Lonchura striata: one gene and its partners. The main gene of each other region encodes a partner of the protein of the gene in region 2 in a complex. Links are inferred from orthologs where the notes say so. Each region holds a gene or a part of one and is shown on either strand. Other genes may lie near its edges. The genes, in order: TENT5C, BCCIP and TENT5A.

Region 1 (6,205 bases), on a different chromosome or scaffold from region 2:
ACATTTATGTCCTCTACAAGACAGACAGTATTCACACTGTTACCAGCTTTACAAAGACACAAAGTGAAAGCAACCCAAGAATAACATGAGCCCAGTCTTGGCACAATTAGTTCAAGAGAAATTTGGCCAGAACTTGGACTGAGGAAGAATAATGAGGTTAGGAAATAGAAAGCAGTGTTTTGCTGCTACTCCAAGAGCAGTTTCTGCTTAAGGCATTTTACAGTCAATTAACCAACCCAGTTTACTGAATACTCCACTTAGATCCCATGTTAACAGCCACTTCCAGAGCTAGTACAAAGTTTCTTAACTGCTCCTCTTAACATTTGGCTGCTGGTTCTCTCCTCCCGATGAAGAGGTAATAAGGCTTTTTGGCATTTGTAGAGATACTCAAAGATTCATAGCAGGTCACCTGGCTGCATAATCCCACTGCACACCAGGAAATGGACAGTCTGATACAGTCAAGTTTCCATTAGAGAACATCCAACTGACACTTATTACTTGTCTATAATTACACTTGTGGCTTTCAGTAGCCTCCAGCCAGGAGCACTCGAGGGAAGCGATCAATTGCAAGGCAACCAAGTGGGGTAGGATTGGCTGTACAGCACAGGGGCACCAGCAAGGTAGTAGTTGCTGAAGTTTGCATCGCTGACATAAGGTGCTGGCTGGTAATAACAGGTCACATTAGTGACATTAGGGATGACATTCTGTTCTGCCAGCACCTTGAGTGCCAGCAGAGAAATCAAATTGAGAGTCTGCCTTCGCTCGTGCCCCATGAGGCAGACGGTGCTCTCATTCACCACCCTGCGCAGAATCATGAGGTAGTCGTACTTGCTCCTCTCCTCTTTGGAGAAGTGGTTCTGCAGGTAGGTCTCCAGCTTGCGCTGCTGATCCAGGATGTCTGGGAAGTCAATGAAGAATCGGGAGCACATGTAGCGCTCCAGCGTTTTGATCTCGCGCTTATCCATGGGCCGGAAGTCTCGTACTAAGAGGTTACTGTACTTCAGCAGCCCACCACCTCTGATCTCTTCAGGATTTTTGGTAGCTATCAGCTTGTTCTGGAGGTGATCAAAAGCTGCTTCAAAGTCTCCGTACATGCTCTCCCCAATCACAGTTGGGTGGAAGTGCTCCGACATGGGGGTTTCCGAGTAGTCATAGTAAAAGAGCAGGGAGTCCAGAATGATCTGGAACGAGTCTACACTAAACTCAAATTGCCGCCGTATGCAGTCTACAAACTTAAGCTCCACATTTTTGCCATGCTTGTTGGAAAGTGATATCAAGCTCCAGCGGTCAGTCTCTGTGTACACTTTGACCAGCTTCTGGATGTAGGCTTCCTTCAGTGTTACAGAACTGATCTTCAGCTTGCTTACTCCTTCCGGCAGGAAATTCAAGAGGGAACGCAAGACCACGTCTCGAACTAACTGAAACTCTGCCTCACTTGGAAGAGAAACTTGAAAAATGAGATCCAGGTCTTTGCATCCCAGCCCATTATCCTTGACCAGGACGTGACCAGCTGCAGACCCATTCAGACGGACATCGTGGACCACAATGCCTGCTTCGCTCAGCCGGCTCCGGACCGTCTGAACAATGTCCTTCAGAGTTATCTGCAGCGTCGGGAAGTTCCCCCGCCCGTGGATGGGAACCACCTCTGTAAGAACCTCGTGCAGGCGGCTGACCTGCTCCCAGTTCAAGACACTGCAGGACATGGAGTCTGCTCTGCTACTTCCTTTGCATGCCATCTTTGGGCTTTTCTTCTCCAAAGAAACTGTATGGAGGTAGAATATAAAAAGAAAAAGACAAGTCAGAGTTTCTTTTTGTGCTTCCTAGATCTACTCCTAGGCTCTGTTTTTCTGTTCACTCGCACAGACACAAACTAGACAGAAATAACTCTATGTATTAATGACTACCAGCAATCCTTTCTTCTGAAATGAGACACAGCTTTACTATTGGTGCAGGCAAAAAAAAAAAAAATGGGTTGCCTTTGGGTTTGTTTTTTTTTTTGGTGAGGTAGAGTTAGTTCAGGAAAGTAGTTTGTGCCAAATGGAAATTACCAAAGATGACACAAACTAAGGCTAAAGTCCTCAGCAGCACCAGCAGAAGTGAGATGAGCTGCAAAGCACTTCAGAGAGTTAAGCTCTGAAGTTGTTTCATGATGCATATAAAGCTCAAACTGCTGTTTCCAACTAACACAACTGCAGAACACCCTCAGGTGTTAGTTTCAGAGCTTAGACATCCAGTCCACTGATAACTCTTAAATTATGTCAAAGATACAAGATTTCTTCCTTTACATAGAACACTTTCCTTTCTAAATGATCCAGCATCTATCACTCACAGGATAAAGGCCAAGTACAAGTTGCTCCTGCAAAAAGCTGCAGCTCTTGAACATCCTGGACAGAATTTCAGCTGCAAACTCGGGTAACAGCATTCAATAGGCACTCCAGTCTTTGAAGAAGGGTAAAGAGCTGCTTACAGAGACACTGCCTAACCAACTACCTTTCTGGAAATGTTCATACTTGTCCCAAGGTCTGCTCATTTATGAAGGGCAAACAAGCCTGTAAGATTTGCGATAAATTCAGATGAGGCATAAGAAGTTCATGTTTCTCTTTTAACATCTAGAATCTCACTAACCAGACTTGGTCACAGCCTTGTCTAAACACTTTAAGCACAAGAGAATGATCTGATTAGCTGTGACAAGATTCCTTAAGTCACTTGCCTATTGTAGCATGGAGATACTTACAGATGTTCTACAGTCATGCAACTCAAACTGGTGTTAAAACCCTTTTCTTTTTTTAAGTGTTCCAGGTTTCTGCGTAGCCAGGTGCTTCCTGACAGCTACAGACTAATTGAGGCTTCACCTTCTTCTGCCCCAAATACTCCTGAAGACTGCAGCTGCCAAGGTCAGACTAGTCAAACTTAAGAAAATTAACTCTTGCCTACCAAGAAGGAAAAACCAAGCCCTATAGTTTCCTGGCATGCAATAGCACAGTGCATGGAACATATTAAAGCAAGTTTCAAAGAACAACTATTGTCATCTCAGACATCCCCTTTTTTCAGCTTTTCATTTTTGAGCAACTCATTCGACCTGCCACCTCTTTGGATGAAGAGAGTCAAATCCCAGAGCAAGTAAACAGTGAGGTTAGAATCCCTCTAGGGAAGAAGCTTCTGTCCTCAAGCAGGAGCTGCTGCATTACAAACTGTTCTGCCATGGATCACATCAGCACCAGCAGGTATGAAACAAACCTCTGATTTGCAAGATGATTAATCTAGGACAAATCAAGTGGTTCTTTGAGCTTCATCTTTAATACTCCAACACAGCATAAACACAAACACATCAAACCTGCCAGCAGTTGCTCTCAGGCAACTGAGAGCACATTAAAGTATGTTTCCTTAGTGAACTCACTATATTTCTATTAAATCTCTCAGATCACTAAAGAACATAAGAGTCTTCCCACAACTTCTAACTGAAGCTGCAAATGCTTTCAGCTACTGCCTCTAAAACTATTCCCTCTCCTTCTTCAGATTTGTAGTCCTCTCTGCAGCCAAGAAACACACGCATCTCACCCAGTGACCAGAAAGGACCTGGACCAGCGCTTTCAACCACACCATACACACCTGGCTCTGTTTGGTGACCCTCACCTAGGAGGGTAATGCACATTGCTGCCCTTGGCGGGCAGAAGACAAAGTACTTCGTTTCCAGTTCAGTGGAGGATTTAAGTCTCAGGCTATCAACCTCCAAAACCTCCCACCCTCAAATCACTAGTGTTTGCCTACTCGGCAAGGTTTATGTTAGTGACAACAGATTCCTAGCGACTCCAGTGATTTTGGGATGCTAACAGCTCCCATGCCTCCTGCTTCACTGCCAGCCACTCCCTCCACAAGATCGGACACCTGAAGATACTCAGTCCTTAGGAAGAAAACCACTACGGAGGCAGGAAACACTAAATATCTTTAATACCGAGCATAAAGAGCATTGAATACATCACTCAAACCAGAAGCAAAAAAAGAGCGAGGACTACACACCTTCACCTTGGTCACGACGGGGTGCGTTACCCTGCAGCAGCAACTTTCTCCTATAAGACATATAATTTAACACAACACCCAAAAATTCCCCGGGCCTGTCCCGCGGAGCCCAGCGGCGCTGGGGACGGGAGCTGCGGCTCCCTCCGCCTCCAACACCCGCATCCACGACAGGAGCGCTGCCGAGCTCCTGCTCCCGGGAGAGCCCGCCCCGCAGAGGGGAGAGGAGCCCCGGCCCCGCCGCTCACCTCGGCCCCGCCGCTCGCCCCGAGCAAGCACGCCGGCCCCGCCGCTGCCCGCGACCGCCCTTTATGGCCCTGCAGGGCCGCCCCGCCCCGCCCGGCCCGGCCCGCCCGCCCCGCCCGGCCGGCGGGGGCGGCTCTGGCCGCGGTCCGGCCGCCGGCGCCGCGCCCGGGGAGCGCCGCGGCGCCCGGGCCGGGAGCGGCCGGGGGCGGCCGCCCGAGCGCTGGAGCCCCGCGAGCTCCGCGCACAGCGCCCAGCTGCCCAGCCCCACGTCAGTGCATACTTGTGTATAAAGTCTGTAGATAAATACAAACTTTTCAAAGGGCCCCTCCCTTCAGGAAGGACACTGCGGGGCTGGAGAGCCTCCAAAGAGCAACGTTGTTGGTGAAGGATCTGAGCACAAGTCCCACGATGAAAGGCTGAATGAGCTGGGGTTGTTCAGTCTGGAGAAAAGGACGGTCAGGGGAGACCTTATTGCTCTCTACAACTGCCTGAAAGGAGGATGTAGATGGGTGGTGATCAGTCCCTTCTTCCAAGCAACAGTGACAGATGACACAGTCCTAAGCTGTGGCAGGTTCAGGTTGGACATTAGGAAGAAATTTTTCACTGAAATGGAGATTAGACATTGGAATGGATTGCCCAGGGAGATGATGGAGTCACCATTTCTGGAGTTGTTTAAAGGAAGACTGGATATGAGACTCAGTTCCATTATCTAGTCAACATGGTAGTGTTTGGTCATAGGTTGGACTTGATGACTTCAGAGGCCTTTTCCAACCTAATTGGTTCTGTGAATCTGTGGGCTGACTGAAATACAACAGGGCTTTCCTGAAGGCACCTTATCCCAGACAGAAGAGCTGTTAGCAGAGATCCCAGACGTCCAACTCTGCCAAAGAGTTCTCTGTGGTGCCTAACTGGAAACAGCCAAACCAGGCACTCATCCAGAACCTGCAAGGATGGGCTCACAAGGATGTTGGAGCAGTGCTGAAACAGTGTGCTACCGGAAACTGCGGCTGATGGGCTGTGGGAGGCTCTGCGCACATAGACAAGGATGATGGAATGGCTGGACAGGAATCAATTTGGAGATGCAGTGTCATAAAAATCAGCTGGTGGTTAATAGCACAGGGTGCGAGATCATTCTGGGGGCAAAAGTTACAATTTCTGCTGAGAACATAATGTTTCATCCAATACAGGGGTATCTGCCTTTTGTTACGATAATCAGATCTCAATAGAAACGGGGCGGGGGGAATCAACACAACTTAGAACAGGCCAGAACATAATCCTAGCAGAAGTAAAAAAAGTACTTACAAAACAACGGAAAAAAAAAATCACCACTACATCTGTTATACTGTTTGGCCATACACAGTCAAGAAAGATGAATTAAAACCTGCACATATATGGAGAGGAGCTGGCCTTGAATGAGGAAATGGGAAAGCTCCTTTTTGCCTAGCAAATACAACAGACCTGCCTCGTTTCACCAAAAAAGCCAAAGCTGAACAGGAATAGGGATGGGTTAGATAATTATTTATTTTGCTCCAATATTGCCCACTGGGATAAATAACAGGAAACAAAATTACCTATTTAAATTAAATTACCTATTTAATTAATAATTACCTATTTAAATTAAAGGATAACTGGCACAAGAATCAGATTTGAGGCAAGTTACCATCTTGTTGTCCAATGAGATAAATCGTGAGATTTCAGAGCCTTGCAGGAGGGAAGGGAATAAAACTAGGTTAAAGATGCAGCTAGAAAAGAAAATAAGTATATGATTGCCTGTGCTGGTATGGAGCTGATCATGAGGATCCAGAGGTCTCTCAACACTTTTCCCCTATGTTTCTAAAATTAGAAAGAGAAGTAGGGAACTCAAAGAGAAGTGGTAGCACAAACGAAAGAAGCACAACCACTTGTAAGGAAATGTCTCACTTGGAGATTAAAACAGTGAATGATC
Region 2 (7,372 bases):
AATTTAAGCACATGGCAACAAAATGTGAATGCTAAATGACTATTTGGACTTCTGTTTAATCCACAAATACAGCAAAATGATAATAATAACTAAAACTCCACAACACATTCAGCAAATCTGGATGTACAAATCCTAAAGGATAAAAAATAGATACACCAAATTTTTTACTGTCTTGTTTTAACCAGAACAGCACAGGACATTGAGTTTTCTTCTGGGACTACTGAGGGTGAAAAAAAAAAAAAAGGACAAACTACAACAGCAAAAATAAAATCAGATGTAAAAAGAAGGATTTATTGCTTTTGAGAGGAACTCAAACAGGAACTACAGACTCATTTTTATTATTAAAATACTTATTTTCCAAAAGTCCTAATCAAGATTAGGGATGGAATTTAGAGATTACTTTTGACCTAAAATCTTCACAGATTGCCCTCTGCTGCTGCAAATGCTACAATCAGCTGAGGGTCTCAGTGCATTTACTGCTTGCTCAAGGGTGTAACCTTACTCACAGGACACTGATTTGTCCACAGCCCAAAAATGGAGCAGATAAAGTAGAAACTCCATGCCAGAATCACCCAACATGAGAATTTGGAAGAGTTTACAAGGATTTGACATTTCCTTGTGATGGGTATTTCTATTTAGCAGGATTCTTCCTCACTCCTCATCTCTTGGCTTTGATGCATCACCACTTCTTTATAATTTTTTAGCTAATAATTAATTTACTTGAGAAATTTATTGTTCAAGACAGAGAACTCTCTTTTTCTGCAACGTTTCATAGGAATTGCACAGGCACAGAAGTGATGGCCAGCTTTTATGAGATGATCTCTTTAAGGGAGGAAAGGAGTCAGCAAGCAAACCAGGCACTGCAGGAGAATATTCCTTCTGCATGAGAGAAGCAGAGCTGGCAAAGCTCTCACTAATTAGTAATTTGCACCAAAAGCTCCTTCCCTTCATTTTTAAGTCTAGAAAACACAACCCTTAAAAGCTCAATGTAGCATGAGCCCCTTGTGATGCCAAAAAAGCTATGAAATTCAGTTTTTTTACAAAAATCATGCTCCAAATATATACTGGTGGGTGAAATAAAATTCATTAAAATCCAAACTTCACAAGATGCTGGAAGAAAAAGACCAAGGAGTATCAATATGTACTCACCTTCTTTTTTACTCTTCTCTTTTAAACATATCTTGATGGCTTCTAATGCTCTTGGGCTGGTAAAAACTAGGCCTCCATAGCACTCTGGATGGGAAAGCTATTTAGAAACAGTAAATTTAAGAAGTAAAAAGAAAAAAAAATACAAATTAATTTTAAAAATCAGTTGATCTATTATTTATAACCTTGTGACAAACAGAACAGCTGCCTGAAATGCCCCAACACTTGTGACAACTCACAACTTAAATGTGAATTCTGTCTGAACAATTTAATTCTTTAACAAGCAAGGGCAAGGTCCTTGATGCTGTACATGAAATTTTACTGTACAAAGCTGGTTTGTGGCAACACAAAAAGAGAATGATTCAATGGGATCTTGGCAACCAAATCCTGCTGGAAATAAGACAACTAAAAAAATTTCAAACTTACCTTCTCAAATAAGCTGTCAAGAGAGGTGAAGTCAAATGACAAAACTGGGATCAATGTTGCTTCCAAGCTGTATGATCCCAATTCCTATCAAGAAAAGGTTTGCAGCTCTTGAAATAAAACTCCAAACAGCATTTTTGTTTTTTCAAAGAGCTGACTAAGTCAGCACAAGCTTTTCTCTTTGCTAAAGCAAAATAAAAAGGTATTTTATTTCCTTTCTTTGGTAAATCTAGTTTGGATTTGTTTATTATTTAATATTCCAATATTTTACTAAACAAACAGCTGTGGGACTGTGACCTTCTGAAGTACAGGAGACACCAGCACATAACTCTGAAATCCCCAGGTGTCCACCCAGTCCTGCAAATACCCCTGTACACTTCTGTAATTCTGCCAATAGGTTTCTACTAAAGAAATAATCCTCCTTTATTAGGAATTCTTACTCTTATGAGTGAGATTTACTCACATGAGCAAGGGCAGTAGCAGAAGGGACCCCAGCAACAGGTAACCTCTATTTCACATCACACTCCCAGTAAAAATACAACAAATTTCTGTAATCCTCATTCTGTCCATATGAACACAATCAATATTAATGAATTCAAATGAAGCTGGTTTAATACCAGTACTTTGCTGAAAGCTTTACAATGAATTCAGTACAAATGTCCCATAATTAATACAATTTTTATGCAGGAAGGGTTATTTTTTAAGATACTTTTTCTCTCAGTATAACTTCAGATATGCACTCCTAATTTTGATTAAGCCCCTTGAAACAGTTGGATTCACATTTAATAAGAAGGAAGTGACACATTTTTTTAGTTTTCTTTACATTTACTCACTTTAATATATGGATCTGGTCCTGAATCTTTGTCTTTGGGATCCTTCAGCAGCAGAACCTTCATTGTTCACCAAGGAAGCACAGCAGAACCCTGAAATACAAGAATGGAATTTATCTTAATTAGATCTAGAGGACTTTTTGACTGGAATAGCAACTTGAACAGCTCCAAGAACTGGGTTGCTACGACTTGTACTGCTCCTTACACAGTGAGTAAGCAGTTATTGTGCATTCTCCAGGCAGGAACACCCAGCCTGATAAGGGCAGAAAATAATATGCTGCCTTTAGATAACACTGCTCAAGGAAGAGGCCCTAATGAAACTCATCAAGGGGAACACATTTTAAAGAATATTTTTTAAAAGCAGTAACAGGCCCTACAATGCAACCACATTCTGCAATTGAATCAGCTCCTATCTACAAAAATATTAGTTATTCTATTAATTTCCATGCCAGATTGCACTAGTTTGTTGTTATGCAAAGGTATTGATTTTATTTAATATATGTGTGTCTATATGCACGCGTTTATACATCTATAATAATATAGATAATATTAATATGCATTCTCTGATAGTCTAGGAAACAAGGTGGGACTGAAAACATCTATTCTGCCATAAAAATGGAAGATGATACTTCTCAGTTCCCTACAAGCTTTGATGCTAAACTCAAAGTTATACAACAGAAACAAATACACAAATAATACAAACAGAAATCCACTCTCTAAGTGCATATTTACCCCAATTACCAGTGTGGTATTTTCCTGACAGGTCACACACATAGGAAAATTCATTTTCCTCTAAATTCTTTCCCTGGCTAACAGTATTCAAATTTTGGCAATGACCTAATTGCTCTCAGAGCAAGCACAGCTTTGAAAAACAAAAGAAAAAGCAAAAAACAGAAAAAAAAAAAAATCACAAAAAACTCCCCCCCAAAAAACCCCCACTGATGTGTTTGATGCTTTAAAGGGAACATGAAAATCTGAGCCTACTTGAAGCATATTTGTAAAGCTGGAATTATATCCCAAGGTTCCGGGCTTGCATTTCTTCTGGCTGGCAACAGTGAGTGCCCAATGCTCTTCCTTCCATGGCCTCATTAACATCTCATTCTTCATTAATTAGACACAAAGCGTTAAATGGAACACGTTCCATATAACAGAGGCTTGATCACTAATGAGGATTTTTCCAGTGCTTAGGACATTTCAACGCTTTTTCCCGACTGGCGTTTTTATAAAAACCAGGATCACGTTGTGCTTACGGTGCTCTCCCCATCACCCTCCCCTCTGGAATTACCAGGAATTTGGTCCAGGGGAAGCCGGGTCACAATTTTTAGGGCGTAGCAGCCTGATTCCTGTTTTAATTGGCAATTTTTACTAACGCCAGTTTTTACTTACAGCAATTTTTGCTAATGTCGGGGATGCTCAGCACACTCTGTTCCCTTTAGAGCACAGAATCCCAGGATGCCCGAGGCTGGAAAAGCCCTGGAGGACCATCGGGGCCCGATCCCCGCCGAGCGCCACGTCCAGGCTTTCCCGCAGGGATGGGGACCGCAAAGCGCCCCGGGCAGCCCGACCGCACCGCCGGGAGCCGCTTCCATGCAGGAATTCCCGTTGGGAGGAAGTGACAGCGCGGCCAAGGAGGAAATCCGGGTCAGCGCGGCCGGGGCGGTGCGGGACGCGCCTCCCCTCAGCCCCGCGGCTCCCCTCAGCCCCGGGCCTGCCCTCGGCTCCCCTCAGCCCCGGGCCTGCCCTCCGTCCCGCGCCTCCCCTCAGCCCCGCGGCCCCGCGGCTCCCCTCAGCCCCGGGCCTGCCCTCGGCTCCCCTCAGCCCCGCGGCTCCCCTCGGCTCCCCGCAGCCCCGCGCCTCCCCTCGGCCCCGGGCCTGCCCTCGGCCCCTCCGCGCTCGCCCGCGCTGCCCCTGCCGCGACATTCGGCGACATCGGGGACATCCCGCGGCCGCACCGCGCCATGGCCACGCCGGCCAAGCGCCGGGCGCGGGGCCCCGCCGGGGAGCAGAGCTCCCAGAGCGGCTCCGAGAGCGGCTCCGAGAGCGGCTCCGAGAGCTCCCGGAGCGGCTCCGAGCGCTCGGCGGGCTCCGACTCGGAGGAGCCCCCGGCTGAGGTGAGCGGGACGGGCTCCGCACGGCGGGACCGACCGCGGCTCGGGGAGGGACTGTCGGGGGCGTTCGGGATGGGTTTGGGAAGGGATCGTTGTCCAGGGATGTTCGGGAAGGGACTGTCAGGGCGTGTTCGGGATGGGTTCGGGAAGGGATTGGGATGGGATTATCAGGGCATGTTCAGGAAGGGAGTGCCAGGGGATATTCGGGGTGGGTTTGGGAAGGGATTATTGTCCAGGGATGTTAGGAAAGGGATGATTTCAGGGGATGTTCGGGAAGGGATTGTTGTCAGGGGATGTTCGGGAAGGGATTGGGAAGGGATTGTTGTCCAGGGATGTTCGGGAAGGGTTTGGGAAGGGATTGGGATGGGATTATCAGGGGATGTTCAGGAAGGGAGTGCCAGGGGATGTTCGGGATGGGTTTGGGAAGGGATTATTGTCCAGGGATGTTCAGGAAGGGATGATTGTCAGGGGGTGTTTGGAAAGGGATTGGGAAGGGATTGTTGTCCAGGGATGTTCGGGAAGGGTATTGGGAAGGTTCTGGCAGGGGATGTTCAGGAAGGGACTGTCAGGGGGTGTTCGGGATGGATTTGGGAAGGGATTATTGTCCAGGGATGTTCGGGAAGGGCTTGGGAAGGGATTGTTGTCAGGGGATGTTCGGGAAGGGTATTGGGAAGGTTCTGGCAGGGGATGTTCAGGAAGGGACTGGCAGGGGATGCTCGGGATGGGTTTGGGAAGTGATTGGGATGGGATTATCAGGGAATGTTCGGGAAGGGATTGTTGTCAGGGGATGTTCAGGAAGGGACTGTCAGGGGATGTTCGGGATGATCTTGGGAAGGGATTATTGTCCAGGGGATGTTCGGGATGGGTTTGGGAAGGGATTGTTGTCAGGGGATGCTCGGGAGGGATTTGGGAAGGGACTGGCAGGGGATATTTGGGAAGGGATTGTTGTCAGGGGATGTTCAGGAAGGGATTGTCAGGGGACGTTCAGGATGGGTTTGGGAAGGGATTACTGTCCAGGGGATGTTAGGGATGGGTTTGTGGCTACAACAGCTGTAATTGTGTGAACCAGATGGCAGGTGAAGGCATTTAAGGTTTGTTCATGACACAATTGATGGGTCAGTTTTGAAAAGTTGCTTTCACAGATGTTCTCTAAAGGTCACAGGAGAAATTATAACAATTGCTGAGATTGCTGCAAGGTGGAAATAAATTCTGTTTCTGCTGTTTGCCATTACTTGTCTTCAAGTTCCTGACAGTTTAGCTTTGTTCTGATATAGCTTCTTGACAGGTGTGTGTGCTATTCTCTGTTTTATCCACAGGAAGTGAATATTGAATTTGAAGCGCATTCCATATCAGACAATGACTATAATGGGATAAAGAAGTTACTGCAGCAGGTACTGTACCTACTTGTCAGCTTGGTTGATATGTCCATTGATAAATGATATCTAAGGAGTTGTGCAAAGGCATCAGTTCACATTCTCTGTATTGATTTACAGCTTTTATATATTACTTTCCTTCCTTTTATTAGCTAATCCCAGAATAGTTTGGGAGAGAAGGGACCTTAAAGCCCATCCAGTGCCATCCCCTGCCATGGCCAGGGACACTTTCCACTATCCCAGATTGCTCCAAGCTCCATCCAGCCTGCCCTTGAACACTTCCAGAGATGGAATAGCCGCAGTTTTCAGATCATGCCAAACTCCAGAGGGTACCAGTATGGAAATATCAGCATGTGGAAGGTACAGGAGCAAGCACCTCCAGCAGCTGATTGTTAGTTTTTGCAGTATTATCATGAAGGAAGATAAATAAAAATCTCACTTTATTTTCTGCTAAGTGGTCCGTGAGATACCCTCAGTGCCTGATAGACTTGTTTAATAGTTGTTAAATACGTGTTTTTTATACTTGTTTCAAATACTTTAATACTTGTTTTCTGTCTCCCAGTTGTTTCTAAAAGCTCCCGTTAACACTGCTGAATTAACTGATATATTAATACAACAGAACCATATTGGGAGTATTATCAAGGTAAGACAAATACTATATTTGTAACTGAAGTACAATTTGTTGAAATTACATGATTTCTGTATTTCAGAAGGGGATCCTGTCTGTGTTGTGTGCTTTCTTGATTTTTCTGCTTTAAGAATAATTTTTCTATGGGAACAGAGATTTTCCATGCTTACTTTCAGGCAAAGAATGAATTTGATATATTGTAATTGCTGGTTTCTTTTTACATATGGAAAGCTTTTCCCTCCCTGAATTTCAGTGTAGTAATGCTGAAAATGCAAAGGAGGGGTTTGTTGCCATCTCCATAAGAAACAGGAGCTTGTGACTTTCCTACAAAGACACAGCTCTTTGTCTCCCTCCCTGCCAAAGCTTTGTTGCTCTGTGGTTGTCAAGACATTCCAGGCTTACTTCCCTACATTAGAAACTGAAGCAAATTGGTTTTTTTTAAGATATTGCCATCCCCTGAGCCAAGATGTTGCTTATTAAATGTGAGCTATCAACCTTTAGTGCCTTCCAGAGGACTCTGCTGTAGAAGATGCATGAGCTGGCCCTCTCCAAAGCTGGCTTTGAGCACACTGAGATGTTCAGTGATGCAGCAGAAATTGCAGTGTGTGTTTGTACAGATTTCCTCAATGGTTTTCATCTGCTGGTATCACCTGGAAAGAAAAACATCTTTTGCTACAGAGTGGAAATAGAATGTCAGTATGAGTTGTTGCTTTTCCTTTCATTCAACAGCAAGCAGAAGTGCAGGAAGACAGTTCTGATGATGAAGATGATGAGGATGAAGTGTTTGGTTTTATAAGCTGCTTGAACTTAACAGAAAGGAAGGTTGGTATTCCTCAGTAAAATCTGGTTATAAATATTAGCATC
Region 3 (7,346 bases), on a different chromosome or scaffold from region 2:
CCCAGCCGAGCAGAGGAGAGTGGGATGGAGCCAGCAGCTGCTCAGGGCACCTGCCAGCAGCTGCACATGGAGTGATGAGGAGGGAGGGAAAAGGGTACAGCAGCCTGCATTCTCCAGAAATTTGGTATCTGGAGCTGAGTTGATACATTCACGTGCTATCTGGGTGGAGAACAACTATTAATATTCTTCAGTCCTATAGCTGCTGTTTCCAGTGAGATAATTGTGTAGCAACACAATGAATAACATAAAGAACTTTTCCGGTGATTTCTGCCCAGCAATGTCTCTCCATCTCAAGAGAGGGCAAAATTTAGGTCAAGATCTCATTTGTAGTGTTTTAGTTGCCGTTGGCCTCTGTAGGAGATAGGGCAAGCCAGCTGTGCTGAGGCACTTGTGAGCAGAGACAGAAAGAGCTGCTGTGCCAGGCCTGGGTGGGAAGCTGCAGCGCTGCTGTATCCCTGTGCAGCTGCCAGCATTCCCACTGCAGCCAGGGCTGCGAGGGGCCCCAGGGCTCCCCTTGCACAGCCTGTTCATCCACACTTGACACACTGCACATTCACACACCTGGAAACTGCTGCTCTCCATGTCCGTCTTGCTACAGACTGCTGCTTTTTTATTATTCTGAACATCTATTTGCATTTTTAACACTGTCAAAAGGACATAGGGAAAATCATCATGATGGTATCTGCTGTTTGTCTCTCCAATATGAATAACTGCTCTTAATAGAAGGATTAGAAAAAATAAAAGAAAGGAAGAATGACATTACCAAACTTTTCATGACACAATTGTGATAAAATTGTGTTGTATCTTTTTTTTCTGAACTCCTTCTGAGGCTGTTTTTTGGATTTCCTAGACTTTTTTCATGTCAAACCAATCCAGGCTGCTGCTTTTAATGCATAATAATGATAGCAGAAGTGATGTTTTTCATTTTTTGAATAAAAAACAAACAAGCTCTGTCTGAATCAACACTAGTTTTTGAACTGAAGTAGTGTTTCTGCTCAGAAGTGAATCCCCTGACTGTCTGTAAGTAACACATGTTGGCAGAGCAGCAGTCACACAAACTCAGCTCCCGTATGAAAAAACTAAACTGGAAGTTTTGCCCCTGCTGGGCACCAAATGGGAGCCAATTCATAGACTAGGCATAGACGAAGACTCACACTTTCTGGCTCTTTTTTTTTTTTTTTTTCTGCCAGAAAGAGCATGTTCCTGTTTTAGGCACCAAGTCTTGGGCAGAAGGGAGGCAGAACATTACAGTCACAGTTGATGTAGTTCAGTCAATAAATTACTTAAATTCCTAAATTCAGCAGAGCTCACCTGGAGAGTACACTCTGCTACATGGCCAAGCTGAATGAAGAGCTCACTCTGAGGACTTTATTAGGCAAATATACACAAATGCATACACGAGAAACACATTTATTGCTATTAATTTTAATTTGTTCTAGAGCAGGACTGAGAGTATGGTTGAGAATGAAGGGACTAATTGAAAAATATTGTGCGAACATACAGAAAGACATGATTCACATCACACAGCCTGCGTTTCTGCTAATTCCTTGGGCAGCACAAACAACCTGAGTGAGTAATACAATCAAAATTCTGTCAAAGAATTACTGCTCACATTGACAATTTAAAAACCCCCACCTTTTCCTTCCAAAAGTAAGTTTGTCATTAAAGTACAGAGTATGTTCATGAGCTGAATAAATGTTTTTATTAGCACCAGCATTACCAGTATCAGTCATAATTAGAATAATTGCTATAACTCAGACAAATATTTCTCAATTTCTCATGATGTAATTCACTCTAATTCAATTTCTTGCTACCGTTCTTAATGATTTCTACTGATTTAAAGTGACATAGGCTTTCACATTCAAGTAGGCAGAGGAGCAAAAAATTCAAAATATATATACCCGAGGTAAAGTACTGCACTGATGGAGTTCTATTTCTCTTCTGTTTACACAGTTTATTAAAAAAAAAAAAAAAAAATATATATATATATATATATATATATATATATATATATATATATATATATAAAATACCCTTTATCTGGTGTCCATTAATTAGGGGAAGAGAAGCAAAATGAATTGCACATCAGTGCAAATAATTCCTAATCTTTACAAAGAGTGTAATGATTACCATTCTTTGCACATTTCTGAACTGAAAAAACATAAATGATTCTAACTGGAAATTATTTCCTCTCTTCTTTCAGGTGAGTGGGAGGTGATTTGCAGGTGCTTACACCGAGAAAGGGAGGTTGAGGTGAGGACAGGGCTTGGCTAGCCCTTTTCCTTTAGCAAAACCCAGCAGTGTAAAGGTCTTCCTTCTGAAATGCATTGACCTTGCCTTTAATAAATCAGTGTTCTCCACTATGAACTTTTGTCCATTTTTCAAGTGGGCAAGTGATAGCTACTTTAAAGAGGTCAAAAGTCACACTTCATGGGGAAATGAAACAAGATCCACATAAAATAACATTGAATCCTACTGACCAGTATTCAAAATACTGTTAAAATGTCATTGCAACATGCTGAGAAACACAAGTTAAATGAAATGCTGGTTACTCCCAGACAGGAAATTGTCTCAGTTTCTTGGAGCTGGCCTTGCTTAATATTGGATGAGCCTCCAAGTCCGATCTTTGTCCTTGCTCTAGAAATCAGTAATCCAGTTATTAATGATAATTTGCTTATAAATAAGGTGGTAGTTACCCCTTTTGAAAGATTAAATCATGTGCTCTAGTGAACTGTGGTTCACCTGAGTAATGCCAGTCTGGGAACGGGGTTATATTTTAACCTCTCCAAGCTTCCTAACTGCACAGGGAGGCGGTGACACCTCTGTGCTGCAGGCAGGCAATCCCCGTGGTGGGACCCCTTGATGTGAGCCCCTGCCCTCGGCTGTCACCGCCCTGCAGTGCCTGTCCGTGTCCTCTCGGGATGCATGGTCAGTGTGAGGAGATGCTGTTCCTGCACCAGGGGAGAGTGGGGCTCCCTGTGCCCAGCGGCAGTAGCCAGGGACCCGGGTTCCCTCAACAGGCTCCCCTGCCAGCAGGCCGCTTAGTCTGAATATTTATTTTATATAAAGGTATAAGCTGGCAAACCCTGCTCAATATGCTGGCAGACGTACAACGTTCTGCTTCTGCTGTTAAGCCCTTGTACACGTTCGTATTTTAAAAGCTTTCCACTTTCTTTTTTTTTTTTTTTTTTCTTCCTGTAACACAATGGCACCGAGCAATGCAAACGCTTTTATGGCCACCTGAGCGGCACGGGGAGGGGGCAGCGGTGCCGCATGACGGGCACAGGGTGGAGTCAGCCCCGCTCCGCCGTGAGGAGCCGGCTCGCGCTGCCGGAGCCGTCGGGAATGTGGGCGGTGGATCAAAGCCCGCGCCGCCCCGCCCCGCGGCAGCCGGCAGGGGGCGCGCTTGCCCCGCGCTGCGCCGCCGGGAGCGCCCCGACGGGGCGGGCGCAGCGCGGCGGGACCCCCGCCCGGCGTGTGGGGTGGGATGGGGGGAGCCGGGCTGGGGGCTTCCCAAGCAGCCCCACACCTCTGACCTCATCCCGGGGCGGGAGAAGATGGGGGTGCGTGCTAAAAATGGGGTGAGGGGACAGTAAACCCCGTCGGGCTGTGTCGCCCACCCCTCATTTTCAGCGAAGTGCTCGGTTGAGGGAGCTGCGCGTCACGAAGTCGCGCACCCCCATTAGCCCCTCCTGCTGCGCGTCACAAAGCTGCGGGCGGTGACGCAACACCGTCCATGCCCCCCCCCCCCCCCCCCGTGTCCCCCAGCACTGCATCCTTCCGCGCAACCCGCTGTCTACACCGCGCTGGCGTGCGCGGGGTGCGCACTGGGGCGGTGACGGCCCCGGGTGCTGCAGCGTGCATCGGGTGTGTGCGCTTAGTCTGTTCTAAACAGTATGTTTGTGTATGTTTTAAATAGGATCTGTTTTCAAATAGTATCGATATATATAAATATCGATATGTGTTTAAAATAATAACTATATGTATGCGTATGTACGTAACAGGTGAAAAGCAGATGCATTCATCGTTATTTTAAAAAAAATGCAAATAAAATATATGGGCATGTTTATATAATATGCTTGTTTTCCATATCATTTTTACGGCTCCGCGGTTACTCAAGTTGTACTCTATAGGCAGGATGCTCCTCTGGAAGGCACCGGCTCCTCCGTGATGTTCGAGATGTCTTTTTTCTCCCCTCGCCGGCGGGGAGGACGGGCGGACAAGGGGGAAGGGGCCGGGCCGGGGCCGGGCAGGCACGGCGTGATGCCGCTGCGCTGCCGCCGGCGGCTCTGGAAATCTCGGTCAGGAGCCGAGCAGCGAGAACCACACGGCCCGGGATCCTCGGCATCTGCTTGGAGAGGGGCTCTTGCCAAATTCCGTCGCTCTGGTATGAAGTTTGGCTGAGCCTGGGATGACCGGGAATGTCGGGGGGGCGGGCGGGGGGTAAAAAGGCAGAGTTAAAAAAAGACGGGGAATGAATGGCTGCGCGGAATGAAGGGCGCCCCTGGGCGCGCATCTAGGCACAGCAGGAGCGGGAGGGGCCGCGCCCCGTTCGGGGCAGGGAGCGCCGCTGCACTTGTTGCCTCCCCGGAGCCGTGCGGGCGGCCGCGCCGCGCCGCGCGGGTCTCCCAGCCCGGGGCGGCCGCGCCGGGCGCTCCGCCGGCGCGGAGGGGCGGGCGGGAGGGCGGCCCGCGGGCGCGCGGGGTGTGGGCGGGCCGGGGGCACCGCCGAGGCCGGCCATGCAGATGGAGGGGGCGGGACGCGGGCGCCGTGACTCGGAGCCCCGGAAGCGAGGAGAAGCCCCGTATAAAAACTACTGGGGACCTTTCCCGGCCAGAACTACGAAAGCTCCGGAGACGGCGGCAGCCTGCGGCGGCAGCGAGCGGGGCGGCCTCTTGGGCGGTGCGGGGCGGCCTCTCCGTGGGCGCGGGGCGGCCTCTGCCCCGGCGGGAGCGCGGAGAGCGGTGCAAGCAGCGGCGCTGCAGGTCGGGCACCTTCCCTTATCCTGCAGCACCGCCTGGCTCCGGGGGGCTTTTTCTCCCCACACCCCCCATTGTATTTATCTATTTTTTAAAATCTAATCAGTAGGTGTGTCCTCCTGCTTCCCCACTGAAAGGGACGGCCACAGGGGAACGGAGCTCGGGCGCCGGGTGCGCGCAGCTGCTGACCGCTGGCTTTTCCTCTTTTGCCAGGCGCGGAGAGAGAGAGGCCCCGGGGGGCCGGCGGGGAGCCGGAGCGGTGCCTGGATCCAGCCCGCGGAGGCGGCGGCCGCTCACCATGGCAGACGATGAGAAGGCCGGCGGGAGTTCCGCGGACGGCGGCGAGAGCGCGCACTGCAACGTGCTGAGCTGGGAGCAAGTGCAGCGTCTGGACCGCATCCTCAGCGAAACCATCCCCATCCACGGCCGCGGTAACTTCCCCACGCTGGCCATGCAGCCTCGCCAGATCGTCAAGGTGGTGCGGAGCCGGCTGGAAGAGAAGGGCATCGGCCTGCGGGACGTGCGGCTGAACGGCTCGGCAGCCAGCCACGTCCTCCACCAGGACAGCGGCCTGGGCTACAAGGACTTGGACCTCATCTTCTGCGCCGACCTCAAAGGAGAAGCCGAATTTCAGACTGTGAAGGACGTGGTCTTGGATTGCCTCTTGGATTTCTTACCCGAGGGGGTGAATAAGGAGAAGATCACGCCTCTCACACTCAAGGTAAACCTGCCCTCTGCCCAGCCGCCCGGAGCGGGCAGGTGTGAGTGCCTGCCCGCGGGGAGCGGGCGCCTTCCCCTGGGATGGAGTGGTGCGCTCCGGGACGCAGCTCCCCCCCACACCTCCGCGACCCATGGGAACCCCGAGCGATTTATTCACCCCACGCTTAAAACCGAGGAGGAGCTTACAGTGAAGCGCCCTGACCGGGGCTCTTCAGGATTAATTAGCTTTTTCTCCCTCCCGGTTGATTTGCTGGGAGCGTTGTTTTACCTGGGGCGTGTGCCAGGCGCTGCACGCCTCTCCCAGTCCGGTTCGGCAGCAGCTCGGTATGCCGGTCCCGGATCCCGGGTGCACGGGGAGCGTAGATGGATTTAACATCTGCAAGAAGGAAACCCCGTCTGCAAGGCATGCTTCCAGCTGTGCTAAGTGCCCCAGCGGGGAGGCATATTCCCTCCTCTAGAAGACACTTTGCTTGAGTTCATTAGGCTGAATCCAGATATTTTCAGATTTTTAGAGGGATTAATTTTTTTAATGTGGGACCGATTTATGGAACCTGCACTGGTAGGATTGAGGGGAATGAACATTTGTTAACTTGTTCTTTGGGAAGTAGAGAGAGAAGTGAAAACCAATAAATAAGATTTCTTTTTAGATCGTAGTAGTGACCTTCTGCATATGGGTGCAGGCATATTTGGCAGATGTACCATGGACTTAGTCTGTAGATGTATTTAGAAGCTACTGAACAAAGTAGTGTTGCTGTATGCTTCCCTTGCACGTCACAGTCCCTGCAGAACACCCTCCCCTGTTATACCCTTGCAGTTACAGCATTTTGAGCTCTCACATTAAACACTTACTCTGTGGTTTGTATCTGCAGACTCCATGAAATCTTTTATGAAATGCAGATATGGGGCGGGGGGGGCTTGGAAGGGGTTAGCAAATGAAGTAAAGGAGAAATTTCTTGGATCTTTGTCTTGATTTGCTCATTTTGTCTTTCTCATTATAGGAGGCTTATGTGCAGAAAATGGTAAAAGTATGCAATGATTCAGACCGATGGAGTCTTATCTCCCTGTCCAACAACAGTGGCAAAAATGTGGAGCTGAAATTTGTGGACTCTCTGAGGCGGCAGTTTGAATTCAGTGTCGATTCCTTTCAAATCAAGCTGGACTCCCTGCTGCTTTTTTATGAGTGCTCAGAGAATCCGATGACTGAAACTTTTCACCCAACTATCATTGGTGAGAGCGTTTATGGGGATTTCCAGGAAGCCTTTGATCACCTCTGCAACAAGATAATTGCCACCAGAAACCCAGAAGAAATCAGAGGAGGTGGTCTTCTGAAGTACTGCAACCTTTTGGTAAGGGGCTTTAGGGCAGCCTCTGAATCTGAGATTAAATCCCTGCAGAGATACATGTGTTCGAGGTTTTTCATTGACTTCTCAGACATTGGCGAACAGCAGAGAAAGCTGGAGTCCTACTTGCAGAACCACTTTGTGGGATTAGAAGACCGCAAGTATGACTATCTCATGACCCTTCACGGTGTGGTGAATGAGAGCACAGTGTGCCTGATGGGACATGAGAGGAGACAGACTCTGAATCTGATCACCATGCTGGCCATCCGGGTCCTAGCCGAGCAAAATATCATCCCCAACGTGGCCA

The links.
Region 1: the proteins of BCCIP (region 2) and TENT5C are in contact, whole or in part, in a cryo-EM structure (PDB 8EQB), measured with the Homo sapiens proteins. The link is inferred for Lonchura striata from reciprocal best matches to the Homo sapiens genes BCCIP and TENT5C. Residues at the interface, in NP_510868.1 of Homo sapiens: Val57, Asn58, Ile59, Glu60, Phe61, Glu62, Ala63, Tyr64, Ser65, Arg136, Gln146, Cys153, Lys155, Ala204, Gly205; in NP_060179.2 of Homo sapiens: Asp90, Asp92, Glu102, Gln106, Arg109, Lys135, Glu136, Val139, Gln140, Lys141, Leu142, Val143, Lys144, Val145, Cys146, Thr147, Asn164.
Region 3: the proteins of BCCIP (region 2) and TENT5A are in contact, whole or in part, in a crystal structure (PDB 8EXE), measured with the Homo sapiens proteins. The link is inferred for Lonchura striata from reciprocal best matches to the Homo sapiens genes BCCIP and TENT5A. Residues at the interface, in NP_510868.1 of Homo sapiens: Val57, Asn58, Ile59, Glu60, Phe61, Glu62, Ala63, Tyr64, Ser65, Leu66, Gln146, Val149, Leu150, Phe152, Cys153, Glu154, Lys155, Asn156, Cys157, Glu158, Lys159, Glu163, Lys167, Leu203, Ala204, Ala206, Thr225; in NP_060103.2 of Homo sapiens: Arg87, Gly88, Asp139, Glu151, Gln155, Lys158, Lys184, Glu185, Val188, Gln189, Lys190, Met191, Val192, Lys193, Val194, Cys195, Asn196, Asp199, Trp201, Asn213, Arg289, Lys295, Glu331, Arg334, Gln341, Asn342, His343.

Annotation. Positions count from the first base shown.
Region 1 is NC_134604.1:28,335,082-28,341,286, reverse strand, and holds TENT5C (terminal nucleotidyltransferase 5C), read right to left. Parts: upstream 1,737-6,205; coding exon 561-1,736; downstream 1-560. UniProt on the Homo sapiens protein: Catalyzes the transfer of one adenosine molecule from an ATP to an mRNA poly(A) tail bearing a 3'-OH terminal group and enhances mRNA stability and gene expression.
Region 2 is NC_134609.1:29,725,025-29,732,396, forward strand, and holds the start of BCCIP (BRCA2 and CDKN1A-interacting protein), read left to right. Parts: upstream 1-4,282; 5' UTR 4,283-4,357; coding exon 4,358-4,510; intron 4,511-5,823; coding exon 5,824-5,898; intron 5,899-6,442; coding exon 6,443-6,523; intron 6,524-7,237; coding exon 7,238-7,330; intron 7,331-7,372. Other genes in the region: UROS (uroporphyrinogen-III synthase), read right to left, coding at 1,150-1,246, 1,573-1,656, 2,403-2,465. UniProt on the Homo sapiens protein: During interphase, required for microtubule organizing and anchoring activities. During mitosis, required for the organization and stabilization of the spindle pole.
Region 3 is NC_134605.1:80,878,705-80,886,050, forward strand, and holds the start of TENT5A (terminal nucleotidyltransferase 5A), read left to right. Parts: upstream 1-4,305; 5' UTR 4,306-4,387; intron 4,388-4,719; exon of another isoform or gene 4,720-4,985; intron 4,986-5,192; 5' UTR 5,193-5,277; coding exon 5,278-5,700; intron 5,701-6,697; coding exon 6,698-7,346.